3 linked regions of the Macaca mulatta genome follow. The protein of the gene in region 3 binds, or shares a complex with, the protein of the main gene of each other region. Links are inferred from orthologs where the notes say so. Each region holds a gene or a part of one and is shown on either strand. Other genes may lie near its edges.

Region 1 (4,224 bases), on a different chromosome or scaffold from region 3:
AGTTAGGGGGAAAGTAAAAATTCAACTCCTAAAACATGTGTACAGTCAGGCAGTCACTTCATAAAGAGTTCAGTTGATGAAGTTTCACTCTTGAAATTTCACTGTATATATGCAAACCCTAACTATTAATACAGGTGAGAGCATCCACCTTATCTTCCATTCTCCCTAAGCCCTGAGGGTGGGAATGGGGGGGCACTCCAATCACCTGAGCCTAAGTACATAGCTGTGTCTGGCATGGTCTAGTTATTTATAGCCTCAAAAAACAAAAAAAAGAAAAGAAAAGAAAAGAAAAAGCCAGTTTCTTGTCCGATTCAGGCTTTCCCTGCCTAACCCCACTAGCTTAATGCGATGTTGACATTACCAGGAAATGCACAAGTCCCAAATGCATCTTACAGATGTTTTTACCTCTTGAAATAATATCGGGTCACAAATATTGTTACTTGTGTGTTTTTTTTTTTTTTTTTTTTTTTTTTTTTTTTTTTTTTTTTTTTGCAGAGATTCTATTGCTCATTTGACTCGGGGGCGTTGGATTTGTGCTGAGTGTAATTTCACTCCAAGCATGCAAACTGATCACTTCTTCCCGTGTGTTTGGGGAGTACAAGTGACTACTGCGAGTCCTCACATGTTTTTCTTTTCCTTTTCACGTGGAGGAAAGCGAATTATCCTAGGACTGTTTGGCATTCTACGCAGGGGTTCGAAGATGGGTTCCTCAGTCAACTCTGGCTGCGCGCGGGGGCCTGTGTGTACTCAGGGACACCAGGCTGGAATCGTCCGCCTTAGTTTCAAATGATAAAAGTGCGGAGGGTCTTTCTGCCCCTAAGTCGCGTACAGGACTGCCTGTTTACGGGGTACACTTCCACACACTTCTTTCCCGGTGGTGCCGTCTCGTGGCGGCAAAGCCTTTAGGAAGGCTCTCTGGGGAGAGAGATGATCAGTGGCGACCACGCCTCCCACGTTACAGCGCTCGCTTCCTACTGGGGGTAGGCGGGGACACCAAGGCTCTCCAGCCCGGGAACACGGAGTTCAGCTTCGCTGTACCCAACTGGGAAGCTGTAGAAACACAAAACTCGGGCGGCGACAGCACCAGTCGCTTTTCCGCTCTCTTGGCTCTTTCTTCCGCTTGCACCACCCCCACCCCAGCCGCACCGCCCCAACCCCGGCTCCTCCGCTCACCGCACACAAACCCACACCCCCCGCCGCTCCCGCGTTTCTCTCTCACCACCGACTGGGGCCTGCCTTTTATAGGCGCCGCAGCCAATGAGCGCGCCTCTTTCCTTCTGCCCTCCCGCCTGGCCAATCGCCGCGCCCCTTGTGTAATCTCCGGCTAGTCGGCTGCTTTCGGCTATTTTCGCTGTTGCTGGCTTTTTCAGCAGCTGCTTGTTCGCAGCCAGAGACGCTGCTTTTTTTTCCGGGTTCGAAGCCGTTCCGGATGCTTTAGGCTGCCGGATGTCTGATCTCCGGATAACTGAGGCGTTTCTGTACATGGATTATCTGGTAGGTGCATGGCAGGGGTGGCATGTCGCCTCTCGGATCTCGGCGTGCCCGATGGCCCCCTGCCTTGAGGAGCAGCCTTTTTGCTTTCTTTCTTTGGGATAGGATGCCTCTGGGGTTCTTTCTCCCGCAGCCGGCTCGGAAGCCGTGCCCTGGACTCGGAGGGGCAGCCTCCAGGGCGGCGGGTGGTGGAGCTGACAGGTAAAGGTGCGGCCTGGGCCAGCACGGCTGCGGGGCGAGGGTCGCGCTGGGGCTGCTTGAGAGATGGGGCGGCCGCGGCGGCGCGTCCCCTGCCCGCGATCGGTTTCCTGGCTTCCCTCTGCGCTCTCCGCAGAGGACTTTCTTTCCGGGGGAGCGGGAGTTTTCCGCTCTCCCTGGAGCAGAACTCCAGGTGCTATTAAAGAGCCATAACCAGAATGGCTCACTAAGTGCCCAGCAGCCCTGGTCATTTGATTGTTATTAAATCTCTAAAGCTATGACCTCGGTCGTGGCGGGGTTTTAAAAGCACATTACCATAAAGCAGACGGTTCTAAACTACCTCGCAGGCTGGTCCGAACAGGACTGAGTAGGGACAGGTATTGCCCCACCATTCCGGTCTTGGGTGCGTGCTGCTGTTCCACTGTGCACGGACTGGAACCCGGCTGTTTAGGCCAGGCTTGTGCTGAGAAGTTTAGGTGGGAAAAGTGTCAGCACAGTGCTGGGACCGAACATCATTTTAAAAATGGACTTCTGTGTGTGTCTTAGTGGAATTATGCGAGCGGAAATTATGTTTCCCCAGAGCTGCTTGTTTGCGTTTAAGGGGATCCTCATTTACAGGGACTGTGTTCGATCCTATATGATTACTTTGTTTACCATGTTGGGCAGAACCGCTATTGCCATGCAGAGTTGAAGTAGACGGTTAGAAACATTGACCCTCCTGTCATCTTGAGCACATGCACTCGGTTTTCGACTGCAGAGTCTCTGCCTGGCAGAGATTTGCCAGTGCCTTCTAGGAATTACACTTAAGGCTGTACAGAGAAAGTCTGTGCATGCTTTGATGGCCAAGAAACGCCGGACCGGCTTTGTACTGTCATCTGTGTATTGGGCTTATTTTAGTGTCCATAAAGAAAATGTTTCTCCTAATGCTTCAGAGCTTGATGGTCTTGGTGGGAAAGGATGGTGATTGCAGTTAATGCATGGCCTTGTGAATGGAGCTGAATCTAAAATTCTGAGTTCAAGTTCTGTTTTGTTGTTCATTTGTTGATGGCAGTAACTTCCTTTATCTTTGTGATAAAGGGATATTATTCACTCAGTACTGTAGCTGGTTAAGGGGGTTGTCTGATTATGAACACTCTTCACAATACAAGGTGCCCTGTAAGTTAAGAGAGCTGCCAAAGTGTCCAGAAGATTGTTTTCTAAGTTAAATAACAGATTTAATTTGTAACTTATCTTATATATTACAATACATGGTTTTTGTCTTGCAGTCTGCGTAAATTAAAGCCAAACTTTGTTGGGATAATTACCAAGTAGGAAAGGGTGACATTCTGTACTACTAAAAGCTAATTTTGAATACTTAAATAGTTCTTAAAAAAGAAAATCAGGTGGTTCTGACATTTTACTATTTTCTTTATTTACTGGATGTGTTTTAAATTTATAAATTGCATCACAAAGCCGTCTTTGAGGTGTCAAACCTATCAAAATGATTAGTGAAAACAAAATTGATAACTCTGGTTAATTACTCAGGCTAACCTCTAGATAGGCATAGTCTTAAGGTGAGTGGATGAATGTTTGTGGCCTCAAGGTTACCTTAAAAGCAGATTAATTTATTTGCCAATTTACTAACAGCTTTGTGTCAAATCAACAGGTCACAACTTTGACTTGGCTTTTTTATTTTCCCTGGGCTCAAGGTTACCCTAAAAGCAGATTCATTTCTTTGCCAATTTACTAACAGCTTTGTGTCAAAATCAGCAGGCCCCAAATTTGACTTGGCTTTTTAGAAAGTTTTACCTGCCATACATCTTAGTTTTACTTTTATATTTTAAAAAAATCATTATTTTGCCACTTTATCCGTCTAAAATTCACAAGTGCAGTGACCAACCCCATAAAAGCCACTGGCTACTCTTTGGAGGTGAGAAAAGAAATCTTAAAGGAAACAGTTTAGTTTTTGTGAGTGTGCTAAGTGTCCCCTGTGAAAAGATTTAAGAAAATTCTTTAGCATTAAACTGGATGGAAACAAACAGAAAAACCATCTCAAAACAAAAAATTAGCCCTCCCGAGATGGCCTTTTTGTGTTCACTTTTGCTTATCGACTTTGAGAGAAAATGATGTGCCACACATTATTCTTCTCTTCCTGTCTTTCGGATTGATTTGCTTGCTTATGCATACTCTGTGTGGTGTTTATTAAAAGCCTTATTTCTGAGGAATAATAATTTATTTGCATCTGGTATCTTATTGAAAAAAATTCCTGAGTTCTTTTACTTACCTTGCAGGAAAAAAAAAAAAAAATGCATCTTTCATTCCAAGTTTGACTCCAGACTTTGCTGAATGGATTAGAGTAAGTTCCCTTTCCATGCACTTGACAAGAATAATGGTTTTTTCAGCAGTATTTGACAGTCTTGTGTTGTTCCTGTTGGAAACTGGAAGAGAGAGCTCTGTGTGTGTATGTATTGTTCGTTGTTCTTTGGGCTGGATGTCATCACTTAACCTTTTTATTTGGAGGAGAGTGGAAAGGAAGAGGGGAGAGAAAGGTGGAGG
Region 2 (2,968 bases), about 5.5 Mb from region 3:
AGGGGCGGGCGCTGCCGGGGCTCCGGGCACTGGAGGCGCAGCCGGCGACCTCCCCTCGGCCTCCCAGGGGCTGCCTCCGCCTCTTCCCGCTGCCTACTCTGCGCCCCCTCAGCCGCGGGTCCCCCCCGCTGAGTCGGCGCACCCTGCCCGCGGGGGCGGTCGACCCCGGACTCCTGGAGGGTCGATGTATCCGAGTTGGGAAGGGGCTTTACTCTGCCATCTCATTCCCAATGACTGGACACCTCTACCTGGCTTTTAACTCGTGCTCCGTGTTCTGGCCTGTGGGAAACCCTACAAAGGAAGACCTCAAAAACAATGTTGGATCCTTTGGGCACATATACACACAACATGCTCAAAAGATGATCTAAGACAACAATTATCACACTCTATGATCGATGAGGTTCCAGCTGGTTAGTGGTGAAATCGGGTTGGAAACCAGTCTGATACCTGATTATTTTACACTATTTCTCTTAACTTATAATAGGAGCATGTATTGCAGCTATTTTGAATTTGAATAGCAATTTATTTGAGGAAATAATTCTTCAAACTAATTAAGAATGCTATGCTAGTTTATGCTAAAGGAAAAATATCCATATTCTCCTTCAAAAGTTTTCCATTTTTTGGAGACATTATTTTAGAGTACAGCATAGTCTCTCTTCCTTTAATGCTTCTGTATTCATTCAGGTAAATACTACCCTCAGTTTTCTTCCTTCTCATTTTTAGGTTTTTCCCTTCCTTGATGGTTACATGACTTTAGTACAAATATATGTCTCACAAATTAGAACAGTGACTTATTGGCTCACAAAATGCTGCACCTTGTGATACCATTTGATAAAATATCTTTTATTTTAGATTGTTTTTATAAAGAAACGAGAGAAAACTAGAGGAAGAGCAAAGATGCTGGTTCTTTTCACACGCTACCCAGGGAATGATGGTACTGTCCTTTAAAATATTGCCACGCATCAACAAATTCTGGAATAGGCCTGAAACCAATCATTGTATCTCTGCTTAAATTCCAAACTACAGTGGCTTAAGAAGAGCGCTTAAGTTCTCCTATTTATAAATATTTGACTAAGATCCTTTAATCAATTTACAAGGAAGTTGTAAAAGGTAAAACCACTTTATGAACAGCCTGAAAATAAAACATTATTTTCATGCATTATATAACTCGTCTCATCACAGTGTTAAATAGGTTCTGCATTTTTTTCTAAATTAGTAAATGTCACAGGTGCTCTGAAAGATAGGCAGGAAGAAGGAATTACCTGCATTCTTATAAAAAAAAAAATAAAATACAGGTCTGGTGCCCCTGCCGCCTCCTGCAACGCCGCCACCGCCGCTCCGCCATGACCACCGCTGCCTCCTGCCCTGCAGCCGCCACCACCGCCTGTGTTGACGCCGCCTCGGGACTGGTTGTATGATTAGGCCACAATCTTCAATGAGTAAACATATTGCTCAATGCTGTGGTGTTCTTGGTCACACATTTATGGAGTTTCTGAAGGGCAGTGGAGATTACTGCCAGGCACAGCACGACCTCTATGCAGACAAGTGAACTGTAGAAACTGATTAATACTCCATCAAGAAGCCCACATAAGACTGGTTATCCTGGACACAGAAGTGTTGAATTGAAATCCACAGAGCATTTTACAAGAGTTCTGACCTGGATGGGGTAAACCTCAGTGCACTTCTTTTCTGGTGGCCTCAGTATTACTGGATTAAAGAATTGCTGCTGCTTGTTAGGAGGTTCATTTCATTTATCATTACTTACAACTTCATACTCAAGCACTGAGAATTTCAGTGGAGTATATTGAAGTAGACTTCAGTTTCTTTGCATCATTTCTGTATTCCAATTTTTAAAAAATTATTTCATAACCCTATTGAGTGTTTTTTAACTAAATTAACATGGCTGGAATGAACCGCCCAGCTCCTGTGGAAGTCACATACAAGAACATAAGATTTCTTATTACACACAATCCAACCAATGTGACCTTAAACAAATTTATAGAGGAACTTAAGAAGTATGGAGTTACCACAATAGTAAGAGTATGTGAAGCAACTTATGACATCACTCTTGTGGAGAAAGAAGGTATCCATGTTCTTGATTGGCCTTTTGATGATGGTGCACCACCATCCAACCAGATTGTTGATGACTGGTTAAGCCTTGTAAAAATTAAGTTTCGTGAAGAACCTGGTTGTTGTATTGCTGTTCACTGTGTGGCAGGCCTTGAGAGAGCTCCAGGACTTGTTGCCCTAGCATTAATTGAAGGTGGAATGAAATATGAAGATGCAGTACAATTCATAAAACAAAAGCAGCATGGAGCTTTTAACAGCAAGCAACTTTTGTATTTGGAGAAGTATCGTCCTAAAATGCGGCTGTGTTTCAAAGATTCCAATGGTCATAGAAACAACTGTTGCATTCAATAAAATTGGGGTGCCTAGTGCTATTGGAAGTGGAACTTGAGATAGAGCCTAATTTGTTATACATATTAGCCAACATGTTGGCTTAGTGAGTAAGTCTAGTGTAGCTTCCATAGGAGTATTGAAAGGCAGTTTTACCAGGCCACAAGCTAGACAGATTTGGCAAACTCTGTATTTGGGTTACAGTCAACCTATTTGGATACTTGGCAAAAGATTCTCGCTGTCAGCATATAAAATGTGCTTGTCATTTGTATCAGTTGACCTTTCCCAAAATCATGCAGTATTGAGTTATGACTTGTTTCTATTCCCATGCCAGAATCTTATCAATACATAAGAAATTGAGGAAGATTAGGTGCCAAAATACCCAGCACAATACTTGTATATTTTTAGTACCATACAGAACTAAAATCCCAGGAACTATGAACACTCTAGACCTTATGTGGTTTATTCCTTCAATCATTTCAAACATTGAAAATAGGGCTTACATGGTTATTTGCTCACTTGATGTTTACATCTCCCACACTCATACCAGTATACATCAGGTTTGCCTAAC
Region 3 (3,651 bases):
GCTGAGGCAGGAGAATCACTTGAACCCTGGAGGCAGAGGTTGCAGCGAGTAGAGGTCACACCACTGCACTCCAGCCTGGTGACAGAGCAAGATTCTGTCTCAAAAAAAAAAAGTGTGTCTCTGTATTTCTTTTTACCCAGGGGTGATACTTAACATTAGAAAGGCGATGTACCATTTAGGAGATCCTGTATTTGCACTTCAGTTTTATACAAATGTTAGTTTAACTTCTTTTAAGCCTTGATTGGACTGATTTCCTACAGAAGTGTTGCCTAATGTTACCTACTGGCTCAAGATGCTGGACTTGTGATTTCACGTATTTCTTTTCTTTTTTTTTTTTGATACTAAGTCTTACTCTATTGCCCAGGCTGGAGTGTACAGTGGCGCGATCTCACCTCACTGCAACCTCCACCTCCCGGGTTCAAGCGAGTCTCCAGCCTCAGCCTCCTGAGTAGCTGGCTGATTTTTATATTTTTAGTAGAGACAGGGTTTCATCATACTGGGGAGACTGGTGTCAAACTCCTGACCTCAAGTGATCCACCTGCCTCGGCCTCCCATAAGTGCTGGGATTATAGGCGTGAGTCACCGTGCCTGGCCAATTTCAGGTATATTCTTGATCTGGATAGAGATTGGGAGTGACAGCTGTTGCCATTAGAATTATTTTTAAATTCTGTATTGATTTCTGCTGTCTAGTTCTCAAAAGAATTGAGGCAGACGAAAAGTAGAAGTTGTGATCGCCTTCTCAGGAAAAGCCTAGTAATCAATCTGTTTTGCTCCATGCAAGAAACAATAATGCAGTGAGTCAGTTATTGGGAAGGAGCAAGCGATTGGGGTCTTGTCTTTAAGCTCTTTTTTTCTTGATCATTACTTTGTCCAGAAAAGTACTTAAAAGATGGTTTTGCAGGAGGTACCTTCTAGGTCAGGAGCTGGCAAACCACAGCCGATGAGTGCCTGTACTCTGCTTCTGTGTGACCTGCAAGCTAAGAATGTCTTTTCACATCTTAAAATTGTTGCAAAATGGCCAGCATGGTGGCTTATGTCTGTAATCCTAGCACTTTGGGAGGCTGAGGCAGGAGGATTGCTTGAACCCAGGAGTTCAATACCAGCCTGGGCAACATAGTGAGACTCTGTCTCTACAAAAAATTTAAAAATTAGCTGGGCATGGTGGCAAACACCTGCAGTCCCAGCTACTTGGGAGGCAGAGGTGAGAGGATCACTTGAGCCTTGGAGATGAGGCTGCTGTGAGCTGCAATTGTGCTGCTGCACTCCAGCCTGGGCAATAAAGCAAGAACCTATCTCAAGAAAAGAAAAAAGAAAAGAAAAAAAAAAACAATTACTTTGTGACGTGCAAAAATTGTATGCAATTCAAATTGCAGTGTTCATAAAGTTTGATTGGAAAACAGCCATGCTCCTTCATCTTTCTAAACAGCAGTGTGGAGACTGTGTAGACCCGCAGAGCCTAAAATATTGACTCCCTGGACCTTTTCAGAGGAAGTTCACGGACCACTGTCCGGATCCCATTCGCATCTGCTTGACCTTGAGGATCTCATGGTCTGGAGTAGCAGTGAAGCAAACAGATATTAAAACACTGCTCTGTGAAAGCATTCTTGTTTGTTTCTTAAGGGGGTTTCATTTGTGTGTTGTCTTTCAGCAGAGGTGAGGGGCCTCTTACAGGTAGGGACACTCCTCCCTTGTGTGTACACAGTGGTGGTCCTTTGCTGGAGTATGGTGACATTGAGCAGCAGTGGACTGTGCACTCCAGGCTGCACGCCCTGTTGCTATATGCTTCTGTGGGTCCTGTGAGAGGCTCTGTCAGCATTTGCCTGATGCTATGCTCACAAGGGCCCTCTGCAGACCTTCCTGAAGTACCTTCACTCATCAGGCTGCCTGTGGTCACTCACTGCGGACTGCGTGGTGCCCAGGCTGCTGTGCTGAGTTGATGAGGATCTGGCCCTCCCTTCCTCCTTCCCTGTGGCATCTATGCCTAGAGCGCCTGCATCTGGAAATACAGTCCAGCCCTTCCAATATATTTTGTCTTTTTCATTCAGAAAGAGCCCTGATCTCATGGGATGCATTTTCTTATTTTTTTTTTTTTCTCTTTTCATTCCTCCCTTAGCTGACAACAGAACAAAAAAGAAAGTAGCTCACCGGGAACGAAAGCAAGATTTTTCTGCCTTTAAGCAGACAGACAGCGAGATGAAGGTTAAAATATCACCACAGCTCCTCCTGGCCATGCACCGTTTCCTAGCAACAGGCAAGTGCAGCTTATCACAGTTTGAGATCTCTACCAACCCTGGAGTGTGTTTCTCACCCACCACTGACTGGGGTGGGCTGGGGGTGGACACTGGGAAATGGGGTGATAAGTAATGCCACTTTTGTGTTTTGTTTTTTGTTTTTTTGTTTTTTTGTTTTGTTTTGTTTTTTTCTTTTTAAATTCTCTCCTCTCCTATGTTCAGTGTCGGCATGAACCCTCTGAGACATTTACCAGGGGTGGACCAGTAACTTAAAATTGGTCTGAAAGGTAAGGATGAATGTTAGTGCCACACTGCATGTGAACAGTAGGCCAGGCCATCTCCTTCCAGCTAGGTCTGTGGGAGAGCCAGCTGGCGGAGCAGGCTGATGGTGCCAGCCTGGCACCAGCTTGTTTGATGGACAATTGAGTCCAGTCTCTCTTCAGCTTGTCCTGGAAGCACAGTTGGACATCAGTGGTAACACAGGGGCTATGATTTGCAAAGAAGAAAACTAGGTTTTCACAATTAAATCTTTATCTTTTATGGTTTTAATGAAATCAAATTCTAAGAACTTTGATATGGATTTCTTGATGGCCTCCTCAGATCAGATTAACTCGAGTCCATTTCAGGAGGCAAGTGTTCATGTTGTTTAAACCACCAACCCAGCCGGCACTGACTGCTCCAGAGAGGTCAACGTTGAATGAACTTAAGATACTGACCAACCCTTCTCCCATCCCCAGATGCTCTCCAGGGTTGAGCTCTGGTGGCCAGGGGAAGTGTGAGAAAGTCTAAAGCATCCATTGGCTTTAGAAGACATCAGTGTCCCTGATAGGCAGCCAGTGCCTTTCATCTGCATGCAGTAGACTTAAACCATGTTTAAAAGAAGGCTAGCCGTAACCACCTGACGGAATGCTGTGTAACTCTTTAAGGTCGCGTTCTCAGAAGCCTGGAAATGCTCAATATAATATTTATCACATTAGAAAATATTCATAACTTAATACAAAGTGAGGAGAAACAATCTAAAACTATGTGTACTTTAAGATTAGAGTTGTGTTTTTGTGTGTACACACATGGATACATGAGCACACGTGCCTAGGCATGGCACTGGAAAGAAATTCTCACTCAATTGCTCAGAATGGTAATCTGAGTGGTTGGCTTATAGATAATTTTTACTTTCTTCTTTTTCTGTATTTTCTAAAATTCCTATAATGACTGTCTTATTACAAAAAAGTCAAGTTAATACAGAACTTACAGCTTTCATAAATACATAATTAGAAAATAACAGACAATGTCTTTCACTTATTATTCTTTTTCTAGTTTTGATAATACTGTTCCTCATCATTTAAGAATCACAAATTAAAACTAAACATCTAGGCCGGGCATGGTGGCTCATTGCCTGTAATCTCAGCTCTTGGGGAGGCCA

What was found.
Region 1: the proteins of CNNM2 (region 3) and ARL15 are in contact, whole or in part, in a crystal structure (PDB 8F6D), measured with the Homo sapiens proteins. The link is inferred for Macaca mulatta from reciprocal best matches to the Homo sapiens genes CNNM2 and ARL15. Residues at the interface, in NP_060119.3 of Homo sapiens: Asn490, Val492, Pro521, Leu522, His523, Phe524, Val525, Phe526, Thr529, Glu537, Lys542, Ser543, Gln549; in NP_061960.1 of Homo sapiens: Tyr92, Ser94, Arg95, Gln98, Gln128, His129, Pro130, Gln131, Cys133.
Region 2: the proteins of CNNM2 (region 3) and protein tyrosine phosphatase type IVA 1 are in contact, whole or in part, in a crystal structure (PDB 5MMZ), measured with the Mus musculus proteins. The link is inferred for Macaca mulatta from reciprocal best matches to the Homo sapiens genes CNNM2 and PTP4A1. Residues at the interface, in NP_291047.2 of Mus musculus: Phe526, Asp528, Val551, Asn553, Glu556, Gly557, Asp558, Pro559, Phe560, Tyr561; in NP_035330.1 of Mus musculus: Asp72, Gly73, Ala74, Gly107, Leu108, Gly109, Arg110, Arg137, Arg138, Gly139, Ala140, Phe141, Asn142, Lys144, Gln145.

The regions. Positions count from the first base shown.
Region 1 is NC_133411.1:62,119,817-62,124,040, reverse strand, and holds the start of ARL15 (ADP-ribosylation factor-like protein 15), read left to right. Parts: upstream 1-1,359; 5' UTR 1,360-1,446; coding exon 1,447-1,494; intron 1,495-4,224.
Region 2 is NC_133414.1:120,656,831-120,659,798, forward strand, and holds protein tyrosine phosphatase type IVA 1, read left to right. Parts: upstream 1-1,554; 5' UTR 1,555-1,899; coding exon 1,900-2,421; 3' UTR 2,422-2,462; downstream 2,463-2,968. UniProt on the Homo sapiens protein: Protein tyrosine phosphatase which stimulates progression from G1 into S phase during mitosis. May play a role in the development and maintenance of differentiating epithelial tissues.
Region 3 is NC_133414.1:115,196,092-115,199,742, forward strand, and holds part of CNNM2 (metal transporter CNNM2), read left to right. Parts: intron 1-2,113; coding exon 2,114-2,251; intron 2,252-2,453; exon of another isoform or gene 2,454-2,518; intron 2,519-3,651.